Linked DNA regions of Saccharomyces cerevisiae S288C. The protein of the gene in region 4 interacts with the protein of the main gene of each other region in a biochemical or structural test. Each region holds a gene or a part of one and is shown on either strand. Other genes may lie near its edges. The genes, in order: ATG17, ATG29, ATG1 and ATG13.

The links.
Region 1: the proteins of ATG13 (region 4) and ATG17 form a complex in vitro, tested with the Saccharomyces cerevisiae proteins (5 studies listed by BioGRID, with this or other methods).
Region 2: the proteins of ATG13 (region 4) and ATG29 form a complex in vitro, tested with the Saccharomyces cerevisiae proteins (2 studies listed by BioGRID).
Region 3: the proteins of ATG13 (region 4) and ATG1 form a complex in vitro, tested with the Saccharomyces cerevisiae proteins (6 studies listed by BioGRID, with this or other methods).

The regions. Positions count from the first base shown.
Region 1 is NC_001144.5:968,542-976,197, reverse strand, and holds ATG17 (protein kinase regulatory subunit ATG17), read left to right. Parts: upstream 1-3,027; coding exon 3,028-4,281; downstream 4,282-7,656. Other genes in the region: mRNA splicing protein SPP382, read right to left, coding at 677-2,803; guanine nucleotide exchange factor DCK1, read right to left, coding at 4,503-7,656. UniProt on the Saccharomyces cerevisiae protein: Autophagy-specific protein that functions with ATG13, ATG29, and CIS1/ATG31 in response to autophagy-inducing signals as a scaffold to recruit other ATG proteins to organize pre-autophagosomal structure (PAS) formation.
Region 2 is NC_001148.4:232,780-240,051, forward strand, and holds ATG29 (Atg29p), read left to right. Parts: upstream 1-4,558; coding exon 4,559-5,200; downstream 5,201-7,272. Other genes in the region: REV3 (DNA-directed DNA polymerase), read right to left, coding at 1-4,328; SET6 (Set6p), read right to left, coding at 5,177-6,298; mismatch repair protein MLH3, read right to left, coding at 6,571-7,272. UniProt on the Saccharomyces cerevisiae protein: Plays a role in autophagy. Functions at the preautophagosomal structure (PAS) in order to form normal autophagosomes under starvation conditions. Also plays a role in mitophagy and regulation of filamentous growth.
Region 3 is NC_001139.9:156,029-165,280, forward strand, and holds ATG1 (serine/threonine protein kinase ATG1), read left to right. Parts: upstream 1-4,036; coding exon 4,037-6,730; downstream 6,731-9,252. Other genes in the region: MND1 (Mnd1p), read right to left, coding at 515-1,171, 1,255-1,257; GTS1 (Gts1p), read left to right, coding at 1,878-3,068; serine/threonine protein kinase TOS3, read right to left, coding at 7,381-9,063. UniProt on the Saccharomyces cerevisiae protein: Serine/threonine protein kinase involved in the cytoplasm to vacuole transport (Cvt) and found to be essential in autophagy, where it is required for the formation of autophagosomes.
Region 4 is NC_001148.4:903,386-912,143, forward strand, and holds ATG13 (serine/threonine protein kinase regulatory subunit ATG13), read left to right. Parts: upstream 1-3,832; coding exon 3,833-6,049; downstream 6,050-8,758. Other genes in the region: GDB1 (bifunctional 4-alpha-glucanotransferase/amylo-alpha-1,6-glucosidase), read left to right, coding at 1-3,269; PZF1 (Pzf1p), read right to left, coding at 6,348-7,637; DNA-directed RNA polymerase core subunit RPO26, read left to right, coding at 7,872-7,891, 7,968-8,415; MLC2 (Mlc2p), read right to left, coding at 8,603-8,758. UniProt on the Saccharomyces cerevisiae protein: Activates the ATG1 kinase in a nutritional condition dependent manner through the TOR pathway, leading to autophagy. Required for autophosphorylation of ATG1 at 'Thr-226' and its dimerization. May also be involved in the regulation of autophagy through SNF1.

The DNA.
Region 1 (7,656 bases), on a different chromosome or scaffold from region 4:
AATTATTCGCTGATTCTTCAAAACTATTTGAAAAAAAAAATCTCACATTTTTGATATTCCAACATAAGTAATTGAAGGTCAATGATAGAAGCTATCAATAATATTATATAATTTTTAACTCAGCAGATATCGGAAATAAAAGACTCCATGGCCAAGTTGGTTAAGGCGTGCGACTGTTAATCGCAAGATCGTGAGTTCAACCCTCACTGGGGTCGTTTATTTTTTTTGCATTAAATTATTTAGTGAGCTAAAAACTCCATTAAAATAGTAATCGTATAAACTAATATCAAGTGAAGCTGACTACTTGATTAGGCTCACTACTTAGCCACATTCGGGCTTTCTTCTGTCTTTCTTGGAAAATAACAGCTCCATTTGATCTTGATATAAAAAAGGTCCTTTGATCCCATCCGAAACTCGTTTCCTTCTGCCACAACTCTTAACAGTCTAACTACGAGAGTCTAGCGAAGTATAAAAGTTTAAACAATAAATTTTGGAAACATTTCAAGGGCAAAATACCAACAACTATCAAATAAGGGGAATTAATAGACTCCACTTTAAATTAATCCATTGTCTAAAAATGGTAATGCAATTATTATTTATTTAGTAATCTAATCAATTTTGTTTTTCGACAATAATATATAAATCGTGCCTATCTCACCTCTTTTATAGGTACTTTCTAGAGGTCAAGGGCCCATAAATAAATTGGCTTAAAGGTCCCACTGGAATCCTCCACCCAAAGAATATCATGTTTCAAAGCAACTTCCATTTTTTTCTTCCCGTTTCGGATCTCAAATAAAGGAACTATACAATCTTGGTCTCTTCCATATGGCAGTTGAGTGTACCTATTTGGTATTTTGCTGATCAAGTACCCTTTTTCCAGGCAGTAGTCTTCTACCACATCCTTGAAAGAGCTGCTAACTTTTCCAAGCGGAATATTTTGTACAGTATAGGTAGGTTCTTGTTCGCTTTGACTAATATCGTCGATCACTTGTGTTTCCATTAAGTTTCGTAAACCCTGTCTCAAATCGAAATCTTCATCTAATGTAGATTTATCAAGGTGGTACCTATGAGACATAGCGAATATATTATAGCTTTTTCTGATCTCCGATAGTTCTATTTCTGTTGGTAAAGAGTGCTCAAATACCGTATTCATCAGCCAATTAAGCCACCACTTTGACTTGTGTAAGTCTTCCACTGTACTATAAAGATGCCATTGATAGAGTATTTTGTTTATATTATTAAAGGTTCCCCGCATCATCAATTCATACTGTTTTGGATGAAAATAATGGGTATAACTTCTCAGTTTTTTCATAAAATAGAAAAATCCAGAATCTTTTTCTTTCCATTCCTGTTTTTCCTTCCAATCCTCTAACTCGTAGATGGGGTCATTATGTCTTTCCCACAGCTCGTCCAGGAATTTAGGAAGAAACTCTTTACATAAAATTTTGTAATATCTTCGTTCGCAGATAAGTTCTTTGATAAATATAATATCAGAATTAGTGATACAAAATGATTCCCTATGGTACCAATTTTTACAATAAGCAAAAAATTTTGCTTCAATCTTGTCCACAATTGTGTCTTTGATCTTATCGTCAATTAAAACCATAAAATCCAAGACCCATATTCTTGGCGAAACATGGTCTACTTCATCGTGAAGTTCCCAATTATCTAATTCCTGTAATAGCTTTGGATAGACGAATTCCTCCATGATATGCTCTTTACACCCGATAAAACTTAGCACTTGTTGGAAATCCAGTAATAGGGTGATAGCGCTGTCGATTTTTGATTTAGTCATATCAAACCCTTCCCAAAATTTTTTGAGTTTGGGATATATAACTTTAAAGATTGTTGTTTGTGTCCTGTTCAAAAATTTCGAAGTTGTATCCATTCTATATGCGAGTAGTTCTATAATTTGCGTTAACTCATCAAGTATATCGTTTGGCTTTTCTAAATGATCCAAATCAAATTCTATTAGTAATTCTTTTCTCAATAAGCAGGACGTTAGCCTATCTATGAGCTCGTCGTCGGACAATTTTAAAATAGCACCAATCTTATCATACAGGGAAACATGCTTGCTTTCGTCCCTCAAAGTAACCTCCAATTCAGAAAGAAGCCTCTCTTGTCCATAATATTCTTTGACTTGCACTTCTAACGGAGAGGTGCGCTGACGAATAGCTTCCAAACTTTTTTCAATACCCAGCAGCTCTTGCAATATCTCCACAACAACATCTTTTTTCGGCTTTGGTACTGCATTTAAAGGGTCTAATTCTTTTAGGATACTCTCTGGTAATTGTACCCCTGCTAACCTCAATTCTCTCAGTGTTCGCACTATAGTCATATCACCACTATCATTTAACAACGCTTCGCCTAAAACCTCCGTGGAGGTTTTATTGAATTTGACTTGTTCTATACCTTCAACCACCTCATCCTCAGAGCTCAAGTAATCCTCATTTTCACTGTGATAGTTACTGGAGTTGGTATTTGAAAACATTCCTAGACCTGCATTGTGCATAGGTCGGCTTTGGGTTTCTATTGGTGTAGTTATACCAGAACCATCCTTCCCAAGGCCTTTTCCCGCAACATATCCCATACTCGAAAGTAACTTCGCACCAATACCATATGTCTTCGTTAATTTTGAGATCGTTGGGGCATTGCCGCTACTAGTTTTCAAGGCATCATTAGTGTATGTCATGTCACTATTCATGCTTGAATTATTATCTTCCTCATCGCTATAATTATAGGAATCGATTCTTCTTTTTTTGAAAAAGAACTTTTTATCTGTGTTGGAGTCCGAATCCTCCATGTTTTGGCGTACTGAAGGCTTAAGTTCTTCGACCTCTCTCGGTTGTACTATTTCGAAATTTTGGATTTTTGTTATTGTTTTGACATAATGTAAATACTAGATGCGCGCTCTAAGGCCTCAGTATTAAAAATTGCAAGATATCCCTAACTTGATAATTATTTGAAAGTCGCATAACGTACGATAAATTCGATACTGCGAGGATATTATCAACGTATTTAACACCTATGAACGAAGCAGATGTTACAAAATTTGTTAATAATGCCAGGAAAACGCTGACCGATGCTCAACTTTTATGTTCAAGTGCTAATTTAAGGATTGTAGATATTAAGAAAAAATTGTCATCTTGGCAGTTGAGTATTTCAAAACTCAATTTTCTAATAGTTGGCTTGAGACAGCAAGGAAAGTTTCTTTACACTATTTTAAAGGAAGGCATTGGGACAAAGCTAATCCAGAAACAATGGAATCAAGCTGTCTTAGTGGTCTTAGTTGATGAGATGAAGTACTGGCAATATGAAATCACTTCTAAAGTACAAAGGTTGGATGGTATAGTAAATGAATTGAGCATATCAGAAAAAGATGATACCGATCCCTCTAAACTAGGAGATTACATCTCGAGAGACAACGTTAACTTATTGAATGACAAACTGAAAGAAGTGCCAGTAATTGAGCGTCAAATTGAAAACATTAAGCTTCAATACGAAAATATGGTCAGAAAAGTTAACAAAGAACTGATTGATACCAAGTTGACGGACGTAACTCAAAAATTCCAAAGTAAATTTGGTATAGATAACCTGATGGAAACAAATGTTGCAGAGCAGTTTAGCAGGGAACTAACGGACCTTGAAAAAGATTTAGCAGAGATAATGAATTCATTGACACAGCACTTTGATAAGACATTGCTGTTACAAGATAAAAAAATTGATAACGATGAACGTGAGGAGCTGTTTAAGGTGGTACAAGGCGACGACAAAGAACTATACAACATTTTCAAAACTCTGCATGAGGTAATTGATGACGTGGACAAAACAATTCTTAACTTGGGTCAATTTTTGCAGGCAAAAATAAAGGAAAAGACAGAACTACACAGCGAAGTTTCTGAAATAATAAACGATTTCAATAGAAATTTGGAATATCTATTAATCTTTAAAGATATTTCCAATCTGATTGATAGCTTCAAAAATTCCTGTACACAAGATATTCAAACAACTAAGGAACTTTGTGAATTTTATGATAATTTTGAAGAAAGCTACGGTAACTTAGTTCTAGAAGCAAAGAGGAGAAAGGATGTGGCAAACAGAATGAAAACTATATTGAAAGATTGTGAAAAGCAGTTGCAGAATTTAGATGCTCAGGACCAGGAAGAACGTCAGAATTTTATAGCGGAAAATGGAACTTATCTTCCTGAGACAATCTGGCCCGGTAAAATTGACGATTTTTCTTCCCTGTACACTTTAAATTACAACGTGAAGAATCCTTAGAAAAAAGGAAAAAAAGGATACGGTACAAAGATTCAATAATTGTATCAATATTTCGAAAAATACTTTATCAAAAAAGCAATACTTGAAGGAGAAAGGAAAAAATTCGCTGTCTTCTTCACTTTTACGACAAAGAAAAATGTGCCCTTTTCAACTAAAAGTCATGAATGAATAAATAAATGATTACATATGCGTATATTTTATAGTGAACAACTTCTGACATATTATCCCGAATGTGAGTAATCATGCTTGTGCTGTGAATCTGTGTTGGTGTTTGGCTGTGACCCTGCCAAAAAGGTGCTCGAAGTGCCGGAAACAATTCCACTTTTATCCAAACTGCTCGTAGTGGACGAGTGGGATAACGTTCTTGTTAAATATTTTCCAAAAAGTAAACTGTTTGGGCCAAATGAGTCGCTATGTTCTAATACAAATTGGCTATGATTGGACCCTGAGGTGTGATGATCCCTTCCAGAAAAGCTTGCCTTTTTATTGGGGTTCTTGTGCGAAATTATTCGAGCAGTAATCATGTTATTCCTGCTACGATTGGCCTCACTGAGAGTACGACTATATCTTTCTATCTCCTCAGCGAAATTTTCCTCAAAAAGACGCACTAGAAGATCATGTGATGGTTTTAGATCCTTTGATGGTAGTAGTTCTGCATGCAACGTTAGACAGCGACCTAATACTGCAACAAGCTCATCAAAAGCTAGCGTCAATCTTCCTAAATCATCAGTACTGAACTGCTTGGATGTGGAGGGTTCTAAAAAGGCCTTGTACTGTGATATGCCTCCATTAACTGGAGCTGATATTGTTCCCGTAATATTTGTAGAAAGCTCGGTAAATAAATCGTTCACATCACCGTGGTCCTTCAGAGTTTTATTGCACATGTTTTCAAGCCCATATAACTCCTGTATTTTAACTTGTAAGGAACGAATTGCATTTTCAAGTGGAGAAAGTTTGCTCTTCGTAACCTTTACAATTTCTGATCTATTCATTAGTGTTGGAAAAGTATTCATAGTATGATACGTATATTCCTCCACCCACAGGTCAGTGACTCCTTTTGCGCCTGGCAAACGTCGAGAATTACTGAAAGTCCTCAAATCTCTATTCTCAATGTACATCCGCACTTTGTTGTTAATTGAGCTTTTCTTGTCACTACTGTTGTAATTATCGGATATACTTAAGCACGGTTCGACGGAAGCTACATGAATGTATTTTCCCATTGGAGGATTCATCAATAACATATCCACTTCTTCTTGTGAGTGTACAATATTTGACCCATGATAGCTTCGTAGAAGCCTGTCATGCATAGACGTAATGTGTTCAAATGGGAGACCCTCAAAGACGAACGATTTATTTCTTAATGATTTTGGAAAACCAAATCCCATGAAAGAAACTTTAAAATACGTTGGAACCAGTCTATCAATGGACTGTAATCTGGTATAAATGCCTGCTATTTGGTCATGTACAAAGGCCAGCCCGTTTAAATCATAATTGATCTCATCGTAGGCTTTTATCAAGTCCTTGTATACCGCTAAAGCTTTTTCTGGTTTTTGGCCTCTCGAAAAGTTTCTTGCGGATTCCTTAAGAAGATATTCCTTCCTCTCAAATGAAGATTGCTCTGGCAATGGCGGGAAAGATATTGCTTCAAGAGTATCATTAGAATCCCAAGCGTACGTACCTGCCAAGAGTTCTAGACTCAAAGCTGCTTGAACAAAGTCTTTTTTCTGAATAAAGTGGATAAACAAATCATATATCATTTTATGAAACAACTCTGGCCTGTTTGCTTCTAGCAAGTACTCGAACATCTCTATGTGCCGAGCAGTCCGATCATCATCAAATTCTTCTTGATTAGGTATTTTGTAGATTTCATTTACAATATGCAAAAAACCAAGTAAATCTCTTAAGAAATCCATACAAGCAGGAAAAAAGGTGTCAGAATCGGGAACGTGCATCATAAAAAACAAACAAGAAACAAACCTTTCCAATTCGTAATCATTCAAACGAAGCTTCCCGATTTGGTATGCGCTGAATAATTCTGGGATACATGCGTTCACTGCTGGTTGTAGGGACCCAAATATCCTCCAAAAATTTAGCCCTAATCCCCATAGTATTTTGCAACAAATTCTTGTTGCATCGATATGTCTATGGAAAGCAAAAATAAAGATCTCACGTATCAAAAATTGATTATGAACAAACAATTCAAATTGGCAATCACTCAAGGCTCCTAATCCATACTTTTTAGCATAAGTGATATTATAGTGCCCAGTGGCTAGGGCATCCCAACATTCATTTAGGATATATGCTGAAATTTTTTTCAGGTCACCCGATATCAAATAAACGGCCTTACGTGGAGTAATAGCTAACTTAGTCAAGGATGCACTTTTATGGTTTGAAACTAGTAGTATGACTTTTACATATTCTGCCCAAAGTCGCATGTCAACCCTCTTTTCAGACTCCTTTGATGGAGAAGGTGAATTATTTTCTATGATATAATCCTTGCATAAACTAAGCAATATTAGAGACGATCTTCCTAATAACGCTGATACGCCAAGCCACTTCATTCCTGGGAACCAATCTTGTTTAAAAAACAAAAAAACTGTTTTGGTTATTGTATAGACATTTTCATTCGTGATTTGTCGTGAATAAAAATTTGATTGAAAAAGAGTGTCTTTATCGCACAAGTTTATGATTTCGCTGAAAGATTGATATGATGGAAATCTGCTTGATGCAATTTTCGTTATTTCACAAATTATGATGGCAAGCTCTAGAAGAACTTCTACGACTACTTCATCATTCACTATTGAATCAACCGGTATGTAGTTGCATGGAATTTCTCTGGGAAAAAGCATGGTAAAAACTCTTCGAGGCCTCATTAAACGTGCTTTCTTACAGTACCTTCTTAAATGGACGAAGGACTTACACAAATATGGTAGTAACCTTATCAAGTTCCTTTGTAGCATGTCAAATTTGTAATCTTCGATTATTGTAATGAAAACAGAATTAACCAAGCGTAAGGATTCTACGTGAAAACATTTGTCATCGCCTGGAGTATACGGCGTAAGTAACCACTCAAGGGTTTTAGATAAAAACTGTAACCTCAGTTTATCTACGGATTCCGTATTGGTTAAATAATTTTGCAAAACCTTCTTGTTAATTAACTTCAACAGGCAATTAAACTTTGTATTCAAATATTCTTCTTCTCGAACTGAGAGTGGCCTGGAGTACATTTTTTGATTCATTTCTTTTTCCTGGCAACATTCAAACAGTCCGATCGCAAAACGAACTAAGTCTTCCACCTTACAGTGATTGGTCATTGTCTCCAGCATAGAGGGAATACTTTCTATTAACAAAATTTGATCCGCCATTATTGGCTCA
Region 2 (7,272 bases), 670 kb from region 4:
TTTAGTGTTTGGTATTCTTTTTGTCTCTTTAATTTCTTTATGAGAAATGATAAGGTTGTGGTGCTTCTTTTCTCTAAACAGTCATCACATAACTGAAGTGAACATATTTTAGTCAATTCTTCACCACAATTACAACATGTTGCAGAAGTTCCTACTCTTGTTATGTTTTCCACTTTTGTAGTAGTTGTGCTCGCCCTTTTGGATTTTACTATTTCCTGAGCCCAGTTGCCAACATTTATACCAATCAAATTGAACAATCTATCAAGAGGAGGTATCAGAATTTTGTTTATATAATACTCCGAATCTAACTCTAAATTCTCACCTTCTAAGAACTCTTCTGGTGATACGCATCTTTCCCGAAGCAGTTGTCCTTGCTTTCCTTTAACAACAAGGTAAGGTATACGCTCCTTGTATTGGGGTTCTGCTCTATGGTCTTCATTTATTCTTCTTTTTACAACCACGGCACCTGCAGGGGCTGTCTTTTCGCTTTTATACGCTCCTAATTTAACTTCTTTTGCAAAACAAAAATCTTGGGCAGATACCTTTCCTATTTGAATCTTAAAAAATTCATTTTGAAGATACTTTTTTATTTTTGACAGGTCTTTGGTTTGAAAAAGTAATCGAATACATTTTTCAATAATCTTCTGCTGGGCTGGGATACCATCCCTTCTAACAGTTTCAATACCCTTAGCATCAAAAATAGGAAGGGTCTGCGAAGGACTTTCATAGGAAAATCCTACGTACCTTTTTTTGCTAATTAATATGGAGGGATGGTATACTTTTTCAAACTTCAAAAAGATTGGTTTTGGATTGTTTTGAGTAACTCTTTCTGCCATAGCATGTCCTATAGAAAAAGCCTCAATAGCAGTTTTTCCAGGTAGATATACAAATAAACTATCTGTGTCTCCATAGACAACTTTGGCGTTCCAAGTTTCATCTTTCTCAATAATATCTATTGCTTTCTCCAATGTTTCTCTGCCTGTTTGTACAATGCTATCAGCTAAATCAGAGCATGGCATTCGTCCAGAAAATGAAGCTGATGTATAACCGTAGGTGACATTCGCCAATAATTTTAGTGCTAACTGTTTGTTATTCAAAAGCCTTTTTAGGGTAGTGTTGTCATCACCTATTTCGTTCATTGTTTTCTTTATCATCACTCTGACATCAAGGATATCTGTTAACATTTTGGATAACGTTGATTTTCTAACAGAGGTCTTGGCATAAACAACACCATTTGGAGCGATAGTTACATCATTTTTTAATAAAGCTAAAATGTTTCTTGGTAATGAAAACTTAGATACTCCAAGGTTATTTTCCGTTAAGTTTATTTCTCGCACTCTTCCTATCATAGTCGAATAGCAATAGTTGTATCCAATCATAATGGATGGATACAATGATTGGAAATCCAGCACAATTAAAGGACTTTTGTAGAAAGCAGATTCTGGCTCCATAACCAAAGGCACACATTCAAGTGCTTTTTGCTTACGAACATCCTTTTTGCCTGGAGAAAGAAGGATAAAACTTTCGGACTTGCATATTCGGATTAAAAAAGACTCAACTTTAAATTGTGATCCTCTGTAATATACAGAATGGAAATCTATTCCTATCAATCTTGCCTGTTCGATATTTCGAGCAATGTAATCCTGCTTTCTTAATAGTTGTATATTTATCTGAGCTCTTGATAACCAATAATTTAACACAGTCTTTAATTCGGTTGTGCTCTTTTTAGCGTTCCACATATTAGTTAATGACTCAAATGAAAAGTGAGGTAATCGTTTATGGAGGATATTGAACGCAGCACTTTCAATAGTATATTGCGTTAAATTTACGTCGGACCTCAACGCTCTCCATATATTAATCATATGTCTTCCGGTAATCATAATTCCTGAGGAATGGGCATATCCCCAAGTATCTGACAACTTCGTCTTAATTTGGCATTTGACTCTGGCAAGTTCCCTGACAATGTCAAATTGATGTATTTTTTGACACCTTTCAATTATATAACCCCACGAAAAATTATGTATTTCGAAACCGGAAAGAATATCAGGATCAAGAAGTAATACCAAATCAGTTAGAGCCTCAAACATTTCAAATTCACTTTCATAGAACATCACGGGAATTTCGTTAATACAATGTTGAATTTTAGTAGGAAATGTACTATCCTCAGAAGCTTTGTGGACTATCATAATCCCTTCGTAAGCGATATCCAAATCTAAAGGGAAAGTTTCTTCTTCAAGACACCATATAATCATGGAAACTTCATCTATTGCAGGGTCTGGAATTTTATCACTTCTCGTGTTTGCATGAATCTCAAGTGTCAGATGAGTAAGAGAATCGTGAACGCTACTTTTTTTTCTTTTTTGTTTTCCAGAAACGTCACTAGCAAATTTGTATAAAAACTTACTATGAGGGGTGTGCATGCTTATCTGAGACTCAGTTTTTTTGTTTCCCATCGAGGGTACTTTATTGTACCATTTTTGAACAGCATCATACGTAGGTGGTTTTAACGCATATTTCCAGGAGGAAAACATGTCGAAAGTTGGCTTGTTATAAACTGATACGGTCTCTCCCCCAAATTGGACGGGTATTCTCGTTGATACATGTGTCGAGCTTATTTCAAACCTCTTACCTGCGTACGCGTAAGGTTTATTTTCTAGATCAACTGGATTCGAAAAGAAAGGGTCCTTATAGTCTATTTTTGGGAATCCCTCGTCTTCCAATTTATTCAGAATATCTTGATAACCGAAAGGAGGCTCACCATAAACAAAGGCTCTTTTTCCATAGCGTAATCCCGCAGCCATAACCTTCTTTCTTTTCCGAGACAGCAACGATGTTTTATTAGCAGAAACAGATGATCTAAGTTTTCGTTTACTTGCCATATTTTGCGTCATAGCACAATCCATTGAAAAATTTATCGTATTGTGATATTTTGTTTGATGATCTAATAGTATAGTAGAATCTTTCGGAGACGCAATGCTTTCCGGTAACCATGAATAAGACCGAGACTTTATATTGCTTCCTTTTACACCTTCGTTCTCATTATCAACACCACATATCTCGTATTCGGTGAACGATGCATTAACTTGGTCGTCGTTCTTTTTATCTTGCATACTATTATTGTTTATTTCAATCTGTGGAAGCCTTGGCCACAATTGCGGTAATGCTTCATAGGGCGTATTTATGGCTGAGAATTTTTGATTCTTATCTATAAAGTTCTCAAAATTTGGTATTTGACCATCAAAAGTACTTGTTTTATGTTGTGCTTTCTTATAAAACGCTTCGAACTCTCCAGAAGATTGCCATTGATGACCACTCACATGGCGCTTTGTTTCTGGTGGTTCTTTATATTCCTTCAAGGACAACTCCTCTCGTTGCATGGTAAGTTCATTTATCATGTCCCTAGCAGAGGATACATATGGTTTGACAGGTATGTCAGAAATATCTCCCAGTTTTTCCAAAAAGTCGTGATGTATATCTCTATGCTGTAACTTTTCTCTATTTTTGATGAATTGCGGTAGTATATCTATCTCAATCAATCCATTTCCAACCCGTGGAAAATCCCTTCTACTGAGTACGTTACACTTGAAGTCACAAAATCGATCTAGTAACAACTGAAGATCATCATTAATTGTCAGCTTATCTATGTCCAGTATACTATTTAAAACAGGAGAGCGAAAATAACACCTATCCACGTTTATCCATGAACATCCAAATAAGTTAAAATCTGCGGTCCATTGTAGCAAGTAAGGAATATGTGATTCATAAATTTCGAATTTCTTTCCGAAAATCTTGCCATCTCTAATCAATTCCGAAATCCTACTTAGACAAGAAGGATTAAGCAAAGAAATTTTGTAAAACAGATTCCAGCCAACGTGGTAACCATAAAATGGTATACCCTTTACAACAGAGACATCAGCGACAAAATTGAGATTTCCAAGTTTGTCGCCGGCTAAATCGTGTTTATCATCTTTTTTCCTTTTAAAGGATGCCCTAATTTTTACTTCCAGCGTTTTATGAACTTGGGCACATCTTTGGTGTCTCAATGTACTCGTGTCAGTTATTTGTCCATCATACTTGATGAACATGTAAGGTAGAATGCCATGGACGTGGCACAATACTTGATGCCCTGTGGGTAAAGCACCAAACACCCTGATGTTTGGGACCTGTGAAAACTGGTTTAAGGGCAGGCTTTCACCGTGCGATGGGTCCAAAAAGGTGGGTTTTGACATATAGTAGTCTTGATTATTTAGCTGGATTCTAAAATAGTCTGATTTAGAGGATGATCTAACCGTATCGCTCTGTATTGTGTCGTTCGACTCCCTCGACATTTCCAAACATTTTATTTCGCCACAACTTGTAGTTTTGTATTGACTCAAATACTTTCTCTTGTTTTGTGCTTCTATTACAGAGATGGCTTTTTTCTTCAAGTACACTATTTCTAGACGCACTGCACTCGTCAAAAAAATGATTCAAGGTGAAAATAAAGGGGTGTTAGTGAATACTTATCAAGAAGAGACATACATAATTGTACTGCTGTGCATTTTCCTACTTGACTTTCATGATTATGAATAGTACAAACACAGTTGTATATATCAAAGTTAAGGGTAGGAGACCACAGGGATTCTTGGATCCTCCCAAATTTGAGTGGAATGGAACAAAGGAGCGACAGCTTTGGACAATGGTATCAAATTTGAATTATTCACAAGATCAAATAGATTGGCAGAATTTATCAAAAATATTTGAAACGCCTGAATTTTTTCTTAAAAAGAGAACATATAAATTATTTGCTGAACACTTAGAGCTTTTACAACTACAATTGGAGAAAAAAAGAGATCTTGAGAAGTATTCAAATGATCAAGTGAATGAAGGGATGTCTGATTTAATACATAAATATACCCCTACTTTACAAAATGATAATCTATTAAATGTATCCGCAAGCCCACTGACCACGGAAAGACAGGATTCTGAAGAAGTTGAGACAGAAGTAACAAATGAGGCGTTACAACATTTGCAAACTTCCAAAATTTTGAACATTCACAAGAAAACATCGGATAGTGAGAATAAGCCTAATGACAAATTGGATAAGGATGGTATTAATAAAGAAATGGAGTGCGGTAGTTCAGATGACGATTTATCTTCGAGCTTAAGTGTTAGTAAATCTGCGTTGGAAGAAGCGCTAATGGACAGATTGCAATTCTGATTTACATCTTTCACAAGCACAATCAAAAAACCAACTGTCGGCCAAAAAGGCCCGGCGTTTTACTGTTGGTAAGTCCAGTACCCCGGAATAATCGATACAGATCTGCTCATCCTTTTTTATATCTCTATTCATAGTGAATAGCATTGAATTACCTTTACGATATTTCGTTATATTGGGGTTACAAGAGTGGTTGAAATAGGAGGCTTCTGGAAATACCCAGTATCCAAAATATTCTCTGCTGTCTGAGGCTTCGCCCTCTTGCCATAAACCAAAAGCATTCCCATATTCAGTACCTAATATATGTCTCAATAGCGGTATGGAGAGCATTCTATGCAAATGTGAAGGTAATAGAATATAGAGTGTTTGAAATACTAATTTTTGAAAGTGCAGTAAGACAGGAAATTTAGATATTTTGCTAAGCTCATTCGATTGTAACATATTGAAAGCTCGGTATGTTATGCACTGAGGATCCATATATTTAAGATTAAACAAACTCTCGCACACAAACCTAATGCAGCAATATTCATCTTCGCAAGTGGGTGGTAATTGATTTATTCTCTTCGCAGATTTCATGTTGTTGATGCGCGGTATCCATTTACTTTCAATCTCATCCCATGAAGACTGTATGACATTTTCCGAAATTAAGATAGAGTTTAATTTTTCCTCCTGTTCAGAGGTATAATTATATCTTTTCAGCATGCTTGGAAAATGATGCAGTAATATCTCATAACATTCAATTAATTCAATGATATTTGGTATTTGAAGATAAGAAGTTCTGCAATGTTCTGAACAGAACCACAGTCCAGCGCCCAGAAACTTCTTAGGGTTAATTTGGTAGTGTGCATTACAAACCAAATCTCTCAGGTAATCGTAGTTTAGTTTGTACTTCATAGTTTTCGCATTAGCGTATGCGAAACAATTGTGACAAACTTCCTTCCTGAACTCATAGGAAATAGATGTTCCTGTAAAATTACTGACTTGCAAGACTGTTGTCCCTTTAGGAATATTACCATTACTGAAACAAGCCCTACCGCCCCATTTAGTTTGCCTAACCTGGAAAAATGGGGAAATTTCATGTACGTCTCCATCAATAGTCATTTTTAAATTTTAGGTTATTTTGTGTTTGCATATATAAATGGTATATATATATATATATATATTCATATAAATCTAGGGCTACATTTATAATATCAGAGATACATAAAACGGTAATGCAACAGTGGAGCAGTATTGTATCGCACGTTTCTTTTTTGTTTTTGTTTTTTAAATTTTTCCAGGTTTTGACAACGTGATGAGGTAATCTTCTGTTTTGCATATCCGCGCAATTTAAAATGCAGGCGACAAACCTTGTTCCAGGATTAAGGTTCTCTTTACTTCAATTCTGCAATGGGTACCATAGAAGGTCTCCCGTGGGCGCATTCGAATGGGTTATGGCATCGCGAGAGCTTGCTAATTAAAATTATGCACTCTTGCCGGGTTAATTCATCTCCAAACATAACAGCAGATCTGCATGCCTTGCTGTTAAGAATTTCATGAAAGACCGTTGGAACGCAGCTTGAGTACTTCCACCAATATAATTTATCAACCGAAGTGTAGTTTTCGAAATGGGATAAATCCATTGGAAGTTTTTTGAAATCCTTCAGGTCATGAGCATGTTGCAGCAAGACCATTTTTAAGTAGTCTTTATCCCCGTTATATTTGGAAGTTAACATCTCAGGCAGTGTTTTAATTTCCAAAAGTGAGGTTTCCATTGTTCCCTCAATTGTTTCATAGCCAATTCCCCACTTTTTAAATTCACTTTGATAATGCTTAAATAAGTCAGCCTCAGTACGATCAACTTCAATGCAACAATCCTTGAGGTCTCGTGCAACAAAAGTTCCGGTTACAACTTCTGTCAACAGGCTATAAAATAGCTCTTCTAGTCTTATCCTCTCATCGCAAGCATGTTGATCAACTAGAACTAATAGTGGGCAATTATGAATAGATTGGTCTAAACAACGTATGAGAATAAATTTTTTATCTACTTGATTAATCACTTCATATTTTGCCAGGACAGATCTTGATATTGAAAA
Region 3 (9,252 bases), on a different chromosome or scaffold from region 4:
TTTTGTTGTTTGCTTGATATTTTTTGTTTTTAATGAACTGTAAGCACACAGAGCTATGGGATGTGTGGCAATGACTGTATATATATGTATATATATATATATATATATATATATATTTATTTATTTATTTATTTAAAATATAGCTACGTATGCGCCAGTTGTTTTTATCAGCTTTGCTTCTGGCCACATTTCAACCAGGTCTCAGAGGATATATGGCCAGAAGGCCCCTTTACACACTTTTGAGATGCGATGAGTCTTCCAAGGTAGGAGCATATGCCTCCAACAGACTTCGGCCCGAAGCATGCTGTGCTCACGGGAATTATATTGTGTGAAGCACATGCCACACTTTCCAAAAAAGAGTCAGAATGAGTCAGCCGGATAACCAAACGCGGACTGTGGCGCCACGGAAAACAGTGTGGCAAATTTATGGGCGGCTAATCTGCAAGCTCTATGCCTGGAAATGTAGATGTAATAATCAAGACACTTTTGTTCTTTCGTGTATAGTGCATGAAGGTTAAACCTCCGTAAATTCCTTGAACTCTTCTGGAATTCCAAATTCTTTTCTTATCTGTTCTGGCTTCAAAAAGAATTTCTTGTATAAATAATCAATGAGAATCTCAATGTTATCAGTAGTTTTCTCCAGATGCACTTTTTTTAGGCGGATCTGTTGTTTATTCTCTTGTATTTTTGCTGCATCCCATCTAATGCTTTCTATTTTTTGGAGACTATTACTCTTTTTCTTAATTTCATCCTGAATTTTTTTTCTCTTTTCCAGTAGAGCCTCCCTATTGTATGATTTTTGGCCTACCGTAAATTTTTTACGCCTTCCAGTTGCTAGCGTTTTGTCTAGTTCTTGTTTATAAGTGGCAATATCACACTTTACTTCCTGTATCTTTTTTTTTATCAACTCGCTTGAATCATACAATTTTTGCAGTGTCTGATTTTTAAAGCACCAGTAGATGTTAATATTACCACATTTTTCCACCGAAATGACGCCGTCTTCATCAATCATTTGTTGCACTAAATCTTTAACGATCATGGGTGAGATTCCGCATTTTTTAGGTATGCTTTTCTCTAATTCCTTGATGTTGTAGAATGTGTACGTCTCTTGAAAAAAGTTCAGAATCCGGTTCTTTTTCTCTTGGAGTGATACTGTCTGTCTCTTTGGCCCCTAATAATAAGAAGAGGGTAGCACGCACCCGTCTATAAGTTAGTGTTCAGTCCTGTGTACCATGATGGTTTTATTAGACATACCATTGTTGAATGTTTATGATACTACACATAAAGTTTCCGCCGTTTAGTCTATATCGCAAAGAATAACGGTGGGACGGGAGATCGCCTTTTATATGCAATTTCGTGATCTGGGCGGTTATTTTACTTTTTTTCGACGCATAAAAAAGCAGGAAAGATGGTAAATTCGGTTCGTTATTCAAGATTTTTAGAGCCAGAAAGATATTTGAGCGTGCCTTCGTGAGAAGAGGCTTAGGTTGAGACGATGATGCTGAAATTATGGCAAGACACGAATTCTTCTTCAAGTTTCCCTTGTCATAATAAGAAGAGAAAAACATACCTTTATGTCGGTTGCAATTAAGAAGGTTGTATAGAGCATCTCAAATGCTGCTTTTACTTTATTAAACGTTGACCAAATAATACGGCGCTTTTGTTTCGACAACGACACACTATGATGCAAAGCGGATCCGGGTAATCGATAAATGGGGGCACCCGGAAATTATTGTAAGTTGAAGAAAGTTAGTGTTGATCTCTAAATGCTTCACAAAAGGGTGGAAGAAGAACATTTTCTCTTGATCAATCATTAATATAGATGGAGGCAGCGTTCTGTCAATCACAGATTATAGTTTATTTATACTTAGTCAAAAATGAGGTTTAGGAGTTCTTCCCATAGCTTAAAACATGTTGACAGAGAATTAAAGGAGTTGATTAATTCGTCCGAGAATGCCAATAAATGCGGTGAATGTGGTAATTTCTACCCAACTTGGTGCTCAGTTAATTTGGGGGTTTTCCTTTGTGGTAGGTGTGCCTCTGTTCATAGAAAAGTTTTCGGTAGCAGAGACGACGATGCCTTTTCTAACGTTAAATCACTATCAATGGATAGATGGACAAGAGAGGATATCGATGAATTAGTGAGTCTTGGAGGCAATAAGGGGAATGCTCGGTTCTGGAATCCTAAAAATGTCCCTTTTCCTTTTGATGGAGATGATGACAAAGCCATCGTGGAGCATTACATTAGAGACAAGTATATTTTGGGTAAATTCAGGTATGATGAAATAAAGCCTGAAGACTTTGGATCCAGAATGGATGATTTTGATGGGGAATCGGACAGGTTTGATGAAAGAAATAGAAGTAGGAGCAGGAGCAGATCTCATTCTTTCTATAAAGGGGGCCATAATAGGTCTGACTACGGCGGTTCCAGGGACTCATTCCAAAGCAGTGGAAGCAGATATTCTAGGCAACTGGCAGAACTCAAGGACATGGGTTTCGGTGATACAAACAAAAATTTAGATGCATTATCGTCCGCTCACGGAAATATCAATAGAGCAATCGATTATCTAGAAAAAAGTTCAAGTTCAAGAAATAGTGTATCGGCAGCAGCGACAACATCAACTCCGCCCCTGCCCAGGAGACGTGCGACAACAAGTGGCCCACAGCCAGCTATTTTTGATGGTACAAATGTAATCACGCCAGATTTTACTTCAAATTCAGCATCTTTTGTACAAGCAAAGCCAGCAGTTTTCGATGGTACCCTTCAACAGTATTACGATCCTGCTACCGGAATGATATATGTAGATCAGCAGCAATACGCCATGGCTATGCAACAGCAGCAACAGCAACAGCAACAGCTTGCTGTCGCACAGGCTCAGGCTCAGGCACAGGCACAGGCACAGGCTCAAGTTCAGGCTCAGGCTCAGGCTCAGGCCCAGGCTCAGGCTCAAGCACAGCAGATCCAGATGCAACAGCTTCAGATGCAGCAACAGCAACAGGCGCCATTATCTTTTCAGCAAATGTCGCAAGGAGGAAACCTGCCACAAGGTTATTTCTACACACAATAAAAATAAGATACATTGCCGCTGCTCCGCATTACATATCATATAGAGTGACACTAAGTAATTAAATGACACTAAGTAACGAAAGATATCTGTAAACAACGACTATATACCAGAATTAGTCATATTCTCTATTGTATTCACCCTACACAGCCGCATTACACAGCTGCTCCGGACGTTTTACGCTGCACATCAATGACTAATACCACTGTATTTGATCCACACTTAGCGCAAAAGTCACCTGGGTGGCGTTTTCCGCTCGCGCTCCGCCGGTGAGAGCGAGAAAAAAAAAAGGGATTGGGCGGTAATGTAAGGAAAACCCACTAGTTAAAATCAATGAGATAAGGAACTCTCTTTTTTTCCCGTTAATCATCTTTTCCTTGTTCGTTTCGTGTATCTGTAATGAATCTTATCGGAGTAACTATTACTGGAAAGCCATACCGTTAAAGAAGCAAGCATATCATTCGTATTCAAGCATCTGTTTTTCTTTTTAACCGCTCGGCTCTGATTTCTTAAACCATTTCCCCCATCAGCATCAGTTTGTGATTTGTAACTATATCGATCGTGGAATCGATGGAATTCTAAGCGTCATTTAGTTGGCAACAAAAGGAATCGAGCATCTCATAAAGGAGCTTATATTATTAATATCTTCCTGATCGTACTATTTTTTTTTAGCTTTTTATTTTTTAGGCCGAGGTTAATTCTAGAACGCCACATTTCATCACCTTTAAGTTAAGTACCAAGGCCATCTTTTACCCTTTTTAGTTTCTGGGGAAACAGAGAACAGTACTATAGAAGATAAAAAGATATAATACAATCGTAGTAATAGTACCCATAATAAAATAACATATAATATAATAAAAACATAAGGCAAAGGAGATAGGAGAATAATCATTGATATCTCCACAAAACGAATTTGAAGCTACCCCATATTTTCAAATCTCTTTTACAACACCAGACGAGAAATTAAGAAAATGGGAGACATTAAAAATAAAGATCACACAACCTCTGTGAACCATAATCTAATGGCAAGTGCAGGAAATTACACCGCTGAGAAAGAAATCGGAAAGGGTTCGTTTGCCACTGTATATAGAGGGCATCTGACATCCGACAAATCTCAGCATGTAGCCATAAAGGAAGTATCAAGGGCGAAATTAAAAAATAAGAAATTACTAGAGAATTTGGAAATAGAAATCGCTATCTTGAAGAAAATCAAGCATCCTCATATCGTCGGACTTATTGACTGTGAACGAACATCAACAGATTTTTATTTGATCATGGAGTACTGTGCTCTTGGGGACCTAACATTTCTGTTGAAAAGGCGTAAAGAATTGATGGAGAATCATCCTCTACTAAGGACCGTATTTGAAAAATACCCTCCACCGAGTGAGAACCATAACGGCCTGCATAGAGCGTTTGTCTTGAGTTATTTACAGCAGTTAGCGTCCGCTTTGAAATTTTTGAGGTCTAAAAACTTGGTTCATAGAGACATCAAGCCTCAAAACTTACTATTATCTACACCCCTAATTGGATATCATGATTCAAAAAGCTTCCATGAACTTGGATTTGTTGGGATCTACAACTTACCCATTTTAAAGATAGCAGATTTCGGGTTTGCAAGATTTTTGCCAAACACGTCATTAGCAGAAACTCTTTGTGGCTCACCATTATATATGGCACCAGAAATTTTGAATTATCAAAAATATAACGCTAAAGCAGATCTGTGGTCTGTCGGTACAGTGGTATTCGAAATGTGCTGTGGCACCCCACCGTTTAGAGCTTCCAATCATTTGGAGTTATTCAAGAAAATTAAAAGAGCAAACGATGTCATAACGTTTCCTTCATATTGCAATATTGAACCAGAGTTAAAAGAGTTGATATGTAGTTTATTGACATTTGATCCAGCCCAAAGAATAGGATTTGAGGAGTTTTTTGCTAACAAGGTAGTCAACGAAGACTTGTCTTCTTATGAATTGGAAGATGATTTACCTGAGTTAGAATCCAAATCAAAAGGTATTGTAGAAAGTAATATGTTCGTTTCTGAGTATTTATCTAAACAGCCAAAGAGTCCGAACAGTAATCTTGCAGGTCATCAATCAATGGCAGATAATCCCGCGGAGCTCAGTGATGCCCTCAAGAACAGCAATATATTAACTGCCCCAGCCGTTAAAACAGACCATACACAAGCCGTAGATAAAAAGGCTTCAAATAATAAATACCATAATAGCCTAGTTTCAGATAGAAGCTTTGAAAGAGAATATGTGGTGGTAGAGAAGAAATCGGTTGAAGTTAATTCATTGGCAGACGAGGTTGCTCAAGCAGGATTCAATCCAAATCCTATTAAGCACCCAACTTCAACTCAAAATCAGAACGTCTTATTGAATGAGCAATTCTCTCCAAACAATCAACAGTATTTTCAAAATCAAGGAGAAAATCCGAGGTTACTGAGGGCCACATCATCTTCCAGTGGAGGTAGTGATGGGTCTAGGCGACCATCTTTGGTGGATAGACGCTTGTCTATATCCTCGCTGAATCCATCTAATGCATTATCAAGAGCCCTCGGTATTGCATCAACGAGATTGTTTGGTGGTGCAAATCAACAGCAGCAACAGCAACAAATCACATCTTCCCCACCGTACAGTCAAACTTTGTTGAATTCCCAACTTTTTCATGAACTTACTGAGAATATAATATTAAGAATAGATCACCTACAGCATCCAGAGACACTGAAATTAGATAATACTAATATCGTTAGTATTTTGGAATCTCTGGCCGCAAAGGCATTTGTTGTTTACTCTTATGCAGAAGTGAAATTTTCTCAAATTGTTCCATTATCAACAACATTAAAAGGCATGGCTAACTTTGAGAACAGGCGCAGTATGGATAGTAATGCTATTGCAGAAGAACAAGACTCAGACGATGCAGAAGAAGAGGATGAAACGTTGAAAAAGTACAAGGAAGATTGCTTATCCACGAAAACTTTTGGAAAGGGTAGAACTTTATCTGCCACATCTCAGTTGAGTGCAACTTTCAATAAACTACCACGTTCGGAAATGATCCTTCTATGTAATGAGGCCATTGTCTTATATATGAAGGCATTATCCATTTTATCAAAATCTATGCAGGTAACGTCCAACTGGTGGTATGAATCTCAAGAAAAATCATGTTCTCTAAGAGTTAACGTGTTGGTACAGTGGCTAAGGGAAAAATTTAATGAATGTTTAGAAAAAGCTGATTTCCTGAGATTAAAAATTAACGACTTGAGATTCAAGCATGCTTCTGAGGTAGCTGAAAATCAAACTTTGGAAGAAAAAGGTAGTTCGGAAGAGCCAGTATATTTAGAAAAGCTATTATATGATCGTGCATTAGAAATATCTAAGATGGCCGCACATATGGAATTAAAAGGAGAAAATTTGTACAACTGTGAATTAGCTTATGCAACTTCACTTTGGATGTTAGAAACTTCTCTGGACGATGATGATTTTACGAATGCCTATGGTGACTACCCTTTTAAAACTAACATACATCTAAAAAGTAACGACGTTGAAGATAAAGAGAAGTATCATAGTGTGTTGGATGAAAATGACAGAATAATCATAAGAAAGTATATTGATAGTATTGCAAACAGGTTGAAAATATTGAGGCAGAAGATGAACCACCAAAATTAAGTGATGCATAATATGGTTTTCTTATTAAGTACAAATGACCTGCTATATTTTCAAGTATCTTCATGATTATGTTATGCTACTCTCGAAATGCTTTACGAGTTCGTCATTAAAGTATTCAAATTTTATTTTCCCTTTGTGTTTTGTTTTGTTTTTATTTCTACGTGATTTTTTTCTTGAAATCCAGCTCTTTTATACCTGGATGGGTTTTATTTTGATGTTTAAATGTTAATTAAGGAAATTATTGAATTCCTTCGGTTTCGGTGTGTTTTTTTCTTTTTAAGTTTTTTTTTGTTGCGTTTAGTACTTGCCTTTGGCTATACATATCCTTTTAATCTAATTTTTATTTCTTCAAAATTTGATTCTTTAACCTTTTGTTCTATATATATATATAAATGTATGTATGTATGATTTGATTGAGGAGGCTTTAACAAGTCATTAATATCTTTATTATTTTTACTTGTTGAGTTCATTAAAATTCATTTTATAATTTGTTGTTACAAACAGTATTTTACAAGTCATAATAAACGTTCAAAAACAAACACAATATTAAAAGAATTGGTATTAGGATCCGACATGACAATTAACTTAGATCCTTCTATCAAGTTTCTAATCATATATTACATCTATTAAAATAATTTACATATATCATGCTAAAGCTTATAAAGAGACATTCTTCTTCTCGTGCGCTGGGCGTCGCTAGCCTCAAATACAAGTGATGCGTCTGCTTCTATTCTAAGGTCATCCTTGCTGTTAGATTTCCCTTCTACCAGGTGGGCTTTTATACGTTGAGGTACATTACCGACAGGCGTAAGAGTAGAGCTCAAACTTGCTTCCGTACTCTCAAAGGGATATTCTCCTACAGGAGACATAGTTGTATATTGTGGAAACTCACAAGAATTCACTCTTAATGAACTTCCACTCTCACCTATCAAGCATTGTTGATCACCGATTGCTGGGGCATCCTGAATACTGATCTGAGATGCAAAAGCGGTGGATGATGTGAAAGAGGAAAAGGACGAATAGGATGACTCTCTAGAACCGATGTTGTGATATGCTGAGGGTGATAAGGTATTTGCGTCGTATATTGATGGAGAATATGTTGAATTTCTGTCAGCACCAGTCCTAAGGTTATTGTGGTCAAAATTTTCCATATAAACGCTATCTAAAGAGGCGAATGATGAATTCACTGGTAGGCTGACCAATTCTACCCTTTTGCATGAAGAGGGCGGTGAAACTTTCAACTCATGAAACGTCTCCAAATTGGTCAATACGGATGCTGCATCGCTTTTACCATAATGGCACATAAACGGATGTACCTTGATGTCTGCTAGTTTTATCCGTTTGTCAGGATCTTTTTGTAACAGCTTCTTCAATAAATCTTTGGCATCAGTGTATTCTTCCATTGTGATTCCCGAAGTGGCACCATTCAACATTTCCTCATAAGATGGAAATTCTAAGGGTTTATTGATAATACTGTCGAAAAGTTCTAATCCTGAATTGGCGTTGAAAGGCAACTTTCCAAACAACAAGCAGTATATAGTGACCCCCAATGACCAGATATCGATGGCAGATGAGCAGGAATACTCTTTTTCAGTGGAGCAAAGCTCAGGTGCAAAAAAAGCAGGGGTCCCTAAGGCTCTAGATTTTAAAAGTTGTTCATGCGATGATTGTATATTAGTACTTCCGGTGGCAGTTGACATAGCAACGCCAAAATCGGATATTTTCACCGTTCCGTTTGATGAAATTAACAGGTTCGATGGTTTGATATCTCGATGCGTTATCCCTTGGGAATGTAAATACTCCAGACCCGATACTACATCCAACACTACCTTCCTCGACTGTTGGAAAGTGAGTATTGATGGTCCCACTGCTTTTATCTCCATTTTGTTTTCTGGACACCATTTAACGGGTCCCCTTGAGCAATATTCTAATACAAGATAAACCTTTGTGCTCTCAGGGTCATTCAAAATTTCATACAATTCCACAACGTTTTCATGATGACATCTTTTCATTACTTCAATTTCTTGATTAACCCTTGGATTTTCTACTTTCAATTGAAGAGAATACCCGCTTCTTTTTTCGAATCTATTAAGAATTTTTATTGCAACCAACGCACCTGTCCCGAGATCTCTTGCTAATTTCACTTTGCCGTACTGTCCATTACCCAAAGTGGCTAAAATTTCAAAGTTGTTAAGGATTTGTCTCTTAGTTAAGGGATTATATAATAGTTTGACTTTTCTTGTCTCTTTTATACGACTACTACTATTGCTCGCATTATTATATAACAGAGATGATCGAGGCAGCGGCTGAACAGGTTCTTTAAGTAGTACCATATTCTTCAAAGCTTCCTTTTTATATGCAGAATATGTGCGCAGCAATTTCAAGGCGTAGAGTACGAGTCACTAGAGGCTCGAGCATTATATACCACTTACAAGTAGTGTTTCTTATTGGGGACACCTGTCCTAACAATGTATGGCTTTATATACCGCGCGGATAAGTAAGGCACACCCGCTCTTCGTATA
Region 4 (8,758 bases):
CAGAGCCTTATTTTACGAGGTTCAAAGGAAAAGATGGTACTGATTATGCCCTCGCCAACAATGGCTGGATATGGAATGGTAACCCACTAGTGGATTTTGCATCGCAGAATTCAAGAGCTTATTTACGTAGAGAAGTTATCGTGTGGGGGGACTGTGTCAAGTTAAGATACGGTAAAAGCCCTGAAGACTCTCCGTATCTGTGGGAAAGAATGTCCAAGTATATAGAAATGAACGCCAAGATATTTGACGGGTTCAGAATTGACAACTGCCATTCTACTCCAATACATGTTGGCGAATATTTCCTAGATTTGGCAAGAAAATACAACCCGAACCTATATGTCGTTGCAGAGCTGTTTTCTGGTTCCGAAACACTAGATTGTCTGTTTGTTGAACGGTTGGGTATCTCCTCTTTAATCAGAGAGGCAATGCAAGCCTGGTCCGAAGAAGAGTTGTCTAGATTAGTCCATAAGCATGGCGGGAGGCCCATTGGCTCCTATAAGTTTGTTCCTATGGATGACTTCTCATATCCTGCGGATATTAATTTAAACGAGGAGCATTGTTTCAACGACTCCAACGATAACTCCATAAGATGTGTATCAGAGATCATGATTCCAAAGATTTTAACCGCCACTCCGCCACACGCTTTATTCATGGACTGTACCCATGATAATGAAACTCCCTTTGAAAAAAGAACAGTGGAGGATACTTTGCCCAATGCTGCATTGGTGGCTCTTTGCTCGTCCGCCATTGGATCTGTTTATGGCTACGACGAAATTTTTCCACATTTACTGAATTTGGTCACTGAAAAAAGACATTATGACATTTCTACGCCTACTGGTAGCCCCTCGATAGGAATAACCAAAGTCAAGGCCACTTTGAATTCGATTAGAACGAGTATAGGAGAAAAGGCGTATGACATTGAAGACTCAGAAATGCATGTGCATCACCAGGGCCAGTACATTACTTTTCATCGTATGGATGTTAAATCCGGAAAAGGTTGGTACTTGATAGCAAGGATGAAATTTTCTGACAATGATGACCCTAACGAGACTTTACCACCAGTGGTGTTAAACCAATCCACCTGTTCTCTCAGGTTTTCGTATGCTTTGGAAAGAGTTGGCGATGAAATTCCCAACGACGATAAATTCATTAAAGGTATTCCCACGAAATTAAAGGAGCTTGAAGGGTTTGACATTTCTTATGATGATTCTAAGAAGATTTCAACGATAAAACTGCCCAATGAATTCCCTCAAGGATCTATTGCCATTTTTGAGACCCAACAGAATGGTGTGGACGAATCCTTAGATCATTTTATAAGGTCAGGTGCTTTAAAGGCCACTTCAAGTTTGACTCTAGAGTCAATAAATTCCGTCTTGTATCGTAGTGAGCCGGAAGAATACGATGTTAGCGCCGGCGAAGGTGGTGCTTATATTATTCCTAATTTTGGAAAGCCTGTGTATTGTGGTCTGCAAGGTTGGGTTTCCGTATTAAGAAAAATTGTGTTTTACAATGATTTAGCACATCCCCTCAGTGCAAATTTAAGAAATGGACATTGGGCTTTAGACTACACTATCAGTAGACTTAATTACTATAGCGATGAAGCAGGAATCAATGAAGTGCAGAACTGGCTGCGTTCAAGGTTTGATAGAGTGAAAAAGTTACCGAGCTACTTAGTGCCCAGTTATTTCGCCTTAATTATCGGCATCCTCTATGGTTGTTGTCGCTTAAAAGCAATACAGCTAATGTCCCGTAATATTGGTAAATCTACATTGTTTGTACAAAGCTTATCTATGACATCAATCCAGATGGTTTCCAGAATGAAGTCAACCTCTATTTTACCAGGCGAAAATGTTCCATCTATGGCTGCAGGGTTGCCACACTTTAGCGTAAACTACATGAGATGTTGGGGGAGAGATGTATTCATATCGCTAAGAGGTATGCTATTAACAACAGGTAGATTTGATGAAGCTAAAGCTCATATACTAGCCTTTGCAAAGACTTTGAAGCATGGTTTAATTCCAAACTTGCTGGATGCCGGTAGAAACCCGAGATATAATGCTCGTGATGCTGCCTGGTTCTTCTTGCAAGCTGTACAGGATTATGTTTATATTGTTCCTGATGGCGAAAAAATATTACAAGAGCAAGTAACAAGGAGATTCCCACTGGATGATACTTACATTCCTGTAGATGATCCAAGGGCATTTAGTTACTCTAGTACCTTGGAGGAGATCATTTATGAAATTTTGAGTAGGCATGCCAAGGGAATTAAATTCAGAGAGGCTAATGCAGGTCCAAATTTAGATCGTGTTATGACTGATAAAGGGTTTAATGTTGAAATTCATGTCGATTGGTCGACTGGCTTAATTCATGGTGGATCTCAGTATAACTGTGGTACTTGGATGGATAAGATGGGTGAAAGTGAAAAAGCAGGGTCTGTTGGTATTCCTGGAACACCCAGAGATGGAGCCGCAATAGAAATCAATGGGCTTTTAAAAAGTGCTTTAAGGTTTGTTATTGAACTAAAAAACAAGGGATTGTTTAAGTTTTCCGATGTGGAGACGCAGGACGGCGGGAGGATCGATTTCACTGAATGGAATCAATTACTTCAAGACAATTTCGAAAAAAGATATTATGTTCCGGAGGATCCATCACAGGATGCAGATTATGACGTGAGCGCTAAATTGGGTGTTAATAGACGGGGGATATACAGAGATTTGTACAAATCAGGAAAGCCTTATGAAGATTATCAGTTAAGACCAAATTTTGCTATTGCCATGACTGTGGCACCAGAGTTATTTGTGCCTGAGCATGCCATAAAAGCAATCACCATTGCAGATGAAGTCTTAAGAGGTCCAGTAGGTATGCGTACTTTAGACCCAAGCGATTACAATTACCGTCCGTACTACAACAACGGAGAAGATTCGGATGATTTTGCCACCTCAAAGGGTAGAAACTATCACCAAGGCCCTGAGTGGGTCTGGCTTTACGGCTACTTTTTAAGAGCGTTCCATCATTTCCACTTTAAAACCAGTCCACGTTGTCAGAATGCTGCCAAAGAGAAACCATCCTCTTATTTGTATCAACAATTATACTACAGATTAAAAGGCCATAGAAAATGGATTTTTGAAAGTGTGTGGGCAGGATTGACAGAGCTAACCAATAAAGATGGTGAAGTATGCAATGACTCAAGCCCCACGCAAGCCTGGAGTTCTGCTTGTTTGTTAGATCTATTTTATGATTTATGGGATGCCTACGAAGATGATTCCTGAAAATAGCTAAAGCATAAATTAATTGAACGGTCCCTTTTTGCCACCCGCTAATACTTTTATTTCTGTTCAACTATATATACATATATATATATTTACATATTTTTACCTCCCTATCTCTATTGATAATAAAACAAATAAAAATCGTATATTTTTGTATATGTATTATCGTTTTGAGGAGCGAGAGCGAAAACGAAAATAAAAGAAATAAAGGGAACACACGTGAAAGTGAAGGACAGCACCAACCAAGGGGGACAAAACGCGTCAGAGCAAGAGGTGAAAGGGTTGCCACGTACGTATTTGAACCGGAGTGAGCCGTTTGCGTGTTACAATCAATTCGATATCTTTGTTGTTTTGTTTAATTCGCTAAGATCTAAGTTTTTAACTAAGTGAGCAGCGGCAGTTACAGAAAGAGGCGAGAAGTAGAAACAAGGGTGTATAGATTTTCGTTACCTCACATAGATATAGAACGAATTCATAGGTACCAAATACATTCCACTTACACCTTCCAGGCTCAAGTCTTGAAAAGAAAGCAGAACATACAGCCCGGTTGAATAGCATGAGTCATGGTTGCCGAAGAGGACATCGAGAAGCAAGTCCTTCAATTGATAGACAGCTTTTTTCTGAAGACTACACTACTAATATGCTCCACCGAATCAAGTCGATACCAGTCTTCTACAGAAAATATATTCCTATTTGACGACACATGGTTTGAAGATCACTCAGAATTAGTGAGTGAGCTACCCGAGATAATATCAAAATGGTCTCACTACGATGGTCGAAAAGAGTTGCCACCCTTAGTGGTAGAGACATATTTGGATTTAAGACAGTTAAACTCGTCTCATTTAGTTAGATTAAAGGACCACGAAGGCCATTTGTGGAACGTTTGCAAAGGAACTAAGAAGCAGGAAATCGTGATGGAACGTTGGCTTATCGAATTAGATAATTCATCCCCAACTTTCAAATCATACAGTGAAGATGAGACTGATGTTAATGAACTTTCTAAACAGCTAGTCCTTCTCTTCCGTTATTTGTTGACTTTAATACAGTTACTACCCACAACAGAATTATACCAATTATTAATAAAGTCTTATAACGGCCCGCAAAATGAAGGAAGTTCCAATCCAATAACTTCCACGGGCCCACTAGTAAGTATCCGGACGTGTGTCCTTGACGGATCTAAACCAATTTTATCGAAGGGGAGAATAGGGTTGAGCAAACCGATTATTAATACATATTCCAATGCGCTTAACGAATCAAACCTGCCAGCCCATTTAGATCAAAAGAAGATCACACCTGTATGGACAAAGTTTGGACTCTTAAGAGTCTCGGTATCATACAGACGTGATTGGAAGTTTGAAATTAACAATACAAACGACGAATTATTTTCAGCTCGACATGCATCTGTCTCACATAACTCACAAGGACCCCAGAATCAGCCAGAACAAGAAGGACAAAGTGATCAAGACATAGGGAAACGCCAACCACAATTTCAACAGCAGCAGCAGCCCCAACAGCAGCAGCAGCAGCAGCAACAGCAACAGAGACAACACCAGGTCCAGACACAACAACAAAGACAGATACCTGATAGGAGATCTCTTTCACTTTCTCCTTGTACAAGAGCCAATTCTTTTGAACCACAATCTTGGCAGAAGAAAGTCTATCCAATATCGAGACCTGTTCAACCATTTAAAGTTGGTTCAATTGGAAGTCAAAGTGCGAGCAGAAATCCCTCTAATTCATCGTTTTTCAACCAACCACCTGTTCATAGGCCAAGTATGAGCTCCAACTACGGGCCACAAATGAATATTGAAGGTACCAGTGTTGGAAGCACCTCAAAGTATTCCTCCTCCTTTGGGAACATTCGTCGTCACTCAAGTGTAAAGACGACAGAGAATGCTGAAAAAGTATCAAAAGCTGTAAAGAGCCCACTACAACCTCAAGAATCACAAGAAGATTTAATGGATTTTGTTAAATTACTCGAAGAAAAACCCGATCTAACTATAAAGAAGACAAGTGGAAATAATCCACCCAATATCAATATTTCTGATTCTCTAATCAGATATCAGAATTTGAAGCCAAGTAATGACTTATTAAGTGAAGATTTATCCGTAAGTTTATCCATGGATCCAAATCATACATATCACAGAGGCAGATCAGATTCCCACTCACCATTGCCTTCAATATCCCCTTCGATGCATTATGGATCGTTGAACTCGAGAATGTCTCAAGGCGCCAATGCAAGCCATTTGATTGCAAGAGGCGGTGGGAATTCATCTACTAGTGCCTTGAATAGTAGAAGGAATTCTTTAGATAAGAGCTCAAACAAGCAGGGTATGTCAGGCTTACCTCCTATTTTTGGTGGAGAGAGTACTTCATATCACCACGACAACAAAATACAAAAGTACAACCAATTAGGAGTAGAAGAAGATGATGATGACGAGAATGACCGTTTGCTCAACCAAATGGGAAACAGTGCTACAAAATTCAAAAGTTCAATATCTCCAAGATCAATTGATAGCATTTCAAGTTCTTTCATAAAAAGTAGGATACCTATCAGACAACCATACCATTACTCTCAACCAACTACTGCGCCCTTTCAAGCTCAGGCGAAATTTCATAAACCTGCAAATAAGTTAATCGATAATGGTAATAGGAGTAATAGTAACAATAACAATCATAATGGGAATGATGCAGTTGGTGTGATGCATAATGACGAGGATGATCAAGATGATGATCTAGTATTTTTCATGAGTGATATGAACCTTTCTAAAGAAGGTTAAAAATGGTAAAGTTTTATTTTAAAGGGCACAACTAAAGAAAAATAATCAAAAAAAAGGTGAAATAGATATGCAAGAAAAGAAAAAAAAATACAATACTAGTAAACTGAAATAAAAAAGATTAGCCATAATGGATTTGTTTCTCTTTGTTATCGATATTCTTACCTCTTGAAGATCCATGTGTCTATCATTTGAATTGAATATATAATTATATACAGTGAGATATACCAATTGCAGTAACAAAATGGCAAATATGTATATCAGTAATATAATTAGCATATAAAATAAAAAAAAAAAATGCTTATTTGTCACCCGCTGACTGCGTTTCCTTTTGAATTATAAAAGGTTCCTTATGGTTCTGGTCCACTAGCGTTTTATTTTCTTCCTTTTCCTGTAATATTTTTAACTTTAGCTCATGTACTTTGTGCTTGTCTATATGTTTCTCGTATTTTTCCTTTGTCTTGAAAGTCCTAGAACAATTATTGTAAAAGCATCTGTATTTTCTTCCAACGGTATTCAATAAAAGGTTTAGCCCATTTTCACCAGACTCAAGTCGCTTTTCTAAATCCACTTCATTCTGTAAAAACTCTACATTATTGTTTTCGGTAAGTTTTCTCCTTTTCCTCAACCTATTGGAAATCTTCTCTTCATCCTGCTCATTCGAGTGTTTGCTATTCCCCAGTTGAACTCCGTGGTCTTGGACAAGTTGTTGAATATCAGAAATTTTATATTTTAGTTCCAGTGGGATATCTTCTTCCGTATGAATAGACCCATAATGCGTGAGAAGATCATGTTTTCTAGAAAAAGACATATCAGGACATATATGACACTTCCAATTTTTGGTTACTAGTGAGTCGTCATGAATAATCATGTGCATTTGTAAACCATTTTCCCCCACACATGGTTTGCTACAAATAGGACATTTTAATTTAGGATGATCATTTTTTATATGCGATTGCAATTGTGACCATATCCGAAACTCTTTGCAACAACCAGCAAAAGTACATTGGTAAGGATTTTCTACCTCAGGATCGTGATGTTTAGAAATGTGATTTCTTAGCCTATATGGCCTCTGAAAGCTTTTATTGCAGTGTGGACAGGTTAGTTTATGTAAATGAACAGATAAAATATGTGCCCTTAATTGTGGATGCTTGTAGAATCGGAGGTTGCATCCTTCCTCTGGACAAATGAAAGATTTGGTATGCGTTACTTCGTGTCGCTTCAGTTGCTGGCGAGTCGTCACTCCTTTTCCACAATAAGAACATTGGAATGGTTTCGTATCAGAATGCGTATACAAGTGTCTCTCTAAGTGACTCTTTTTAACGAAGGATTTTGCACACTTATCACACTGAAATGCTCTTAAACCCTGATGTACGCTTAATTGGTGTTCAGTCAAAATTGAAGGTCTTGTAAATGCCTTATCACAGCCATCATAGTCACAGAAATATGTCTTTGGCCTATTGCTCGATGAGCTTCTAGTTGATGTTAAACTGTTCAATGATTCTGAACTCTCTGATCGTGATATGGGAATGGTCTCCTGTTTAAGTTCGGCCAGTGGCATTCCTTCATTATTTAGAACCTCTCCTCCCATTTGACAGCGATTTCAACAGTTACTACTGTGCTTAATGCCCTTATTTGATAGTTAGTTCTTCTTATAATAAATAATCATTGTATATTGATTATTCGTATAGTATGATATTTAATTGAAAAAAAAATTTTTTTTTTTTTAAGAATATCATTCAAAGGCATCAATCACAACCTTGAAGAAAGGCTAAAAAGACACATTTTGCAGGTAACAGTGTAAAGATTAAGGCTACAAGTGATCATGTCAGACTACGAGGAGGCGTATGTGCATTCATATTGGAGAAATTGCGTGCTTTAGTTTTAATTATATTTACTAACTTCTATCATTGTGATACAGGTTTAACGACGGTAATGAGAACTTCGAAGATTTTGATGTAGAGCATTTTTCTGATGAGGAGACTTATGAGGAAAAACCTCAATTCAAGGATGGTGAAACAACCGATGCCAACGGTAAGACCATCGTTACTGGTGGTAATGGCCCAGAAGATTTTCAACAGCATGAGCAAATAAGAAGAAAGACACTTAAGGAAAAGGCCATCCCAAAAGACCAAAGAGCAACTACTCCATACATGACCAAATATGAAAGGGCAAGAATTTTAGGTACAAGAGCCCTACAAATTTCCATGAATGCGCCAGTTTTTGTAGATTTAGAAGGTGAAACTGATCCATTGCGTATTGCCATGAAGGAGTTGGCTGAAAAGAAAATTCCTTTGGTTATTAGAAGATATTTACCAGATGGTTCCTTTGAGGACTGGAGTGTGGAGGAACTCATTGTGGATTTGTGATTACACCTGCATTTTCCTTTATGTGTATTTGCTTTGTTTGTATATTATTATAACTATAAAGAACGATTTATTTTGTAATGCAAATAACTGGACGAGAGAACCACGCTATAACCTATTTGGTAATAAAAATGTTTGTATGAATAAAAAAGCTGCTGACTGCTTTCTTTGATATGTGTATATAGAATATTTAATCGGTGATTGAATCTAAGAAAAGCTTACCTCTGAAAGTTCTCTCTTCGGTCGCTTGCTGATTTGTAGTAAACAATTTGAAAAGTTTAGCAAATTCTTCCTCAGGATTTTCAAAACCGGCTTCCTTTAAAGAATCAATGACCTCATTCAAGGG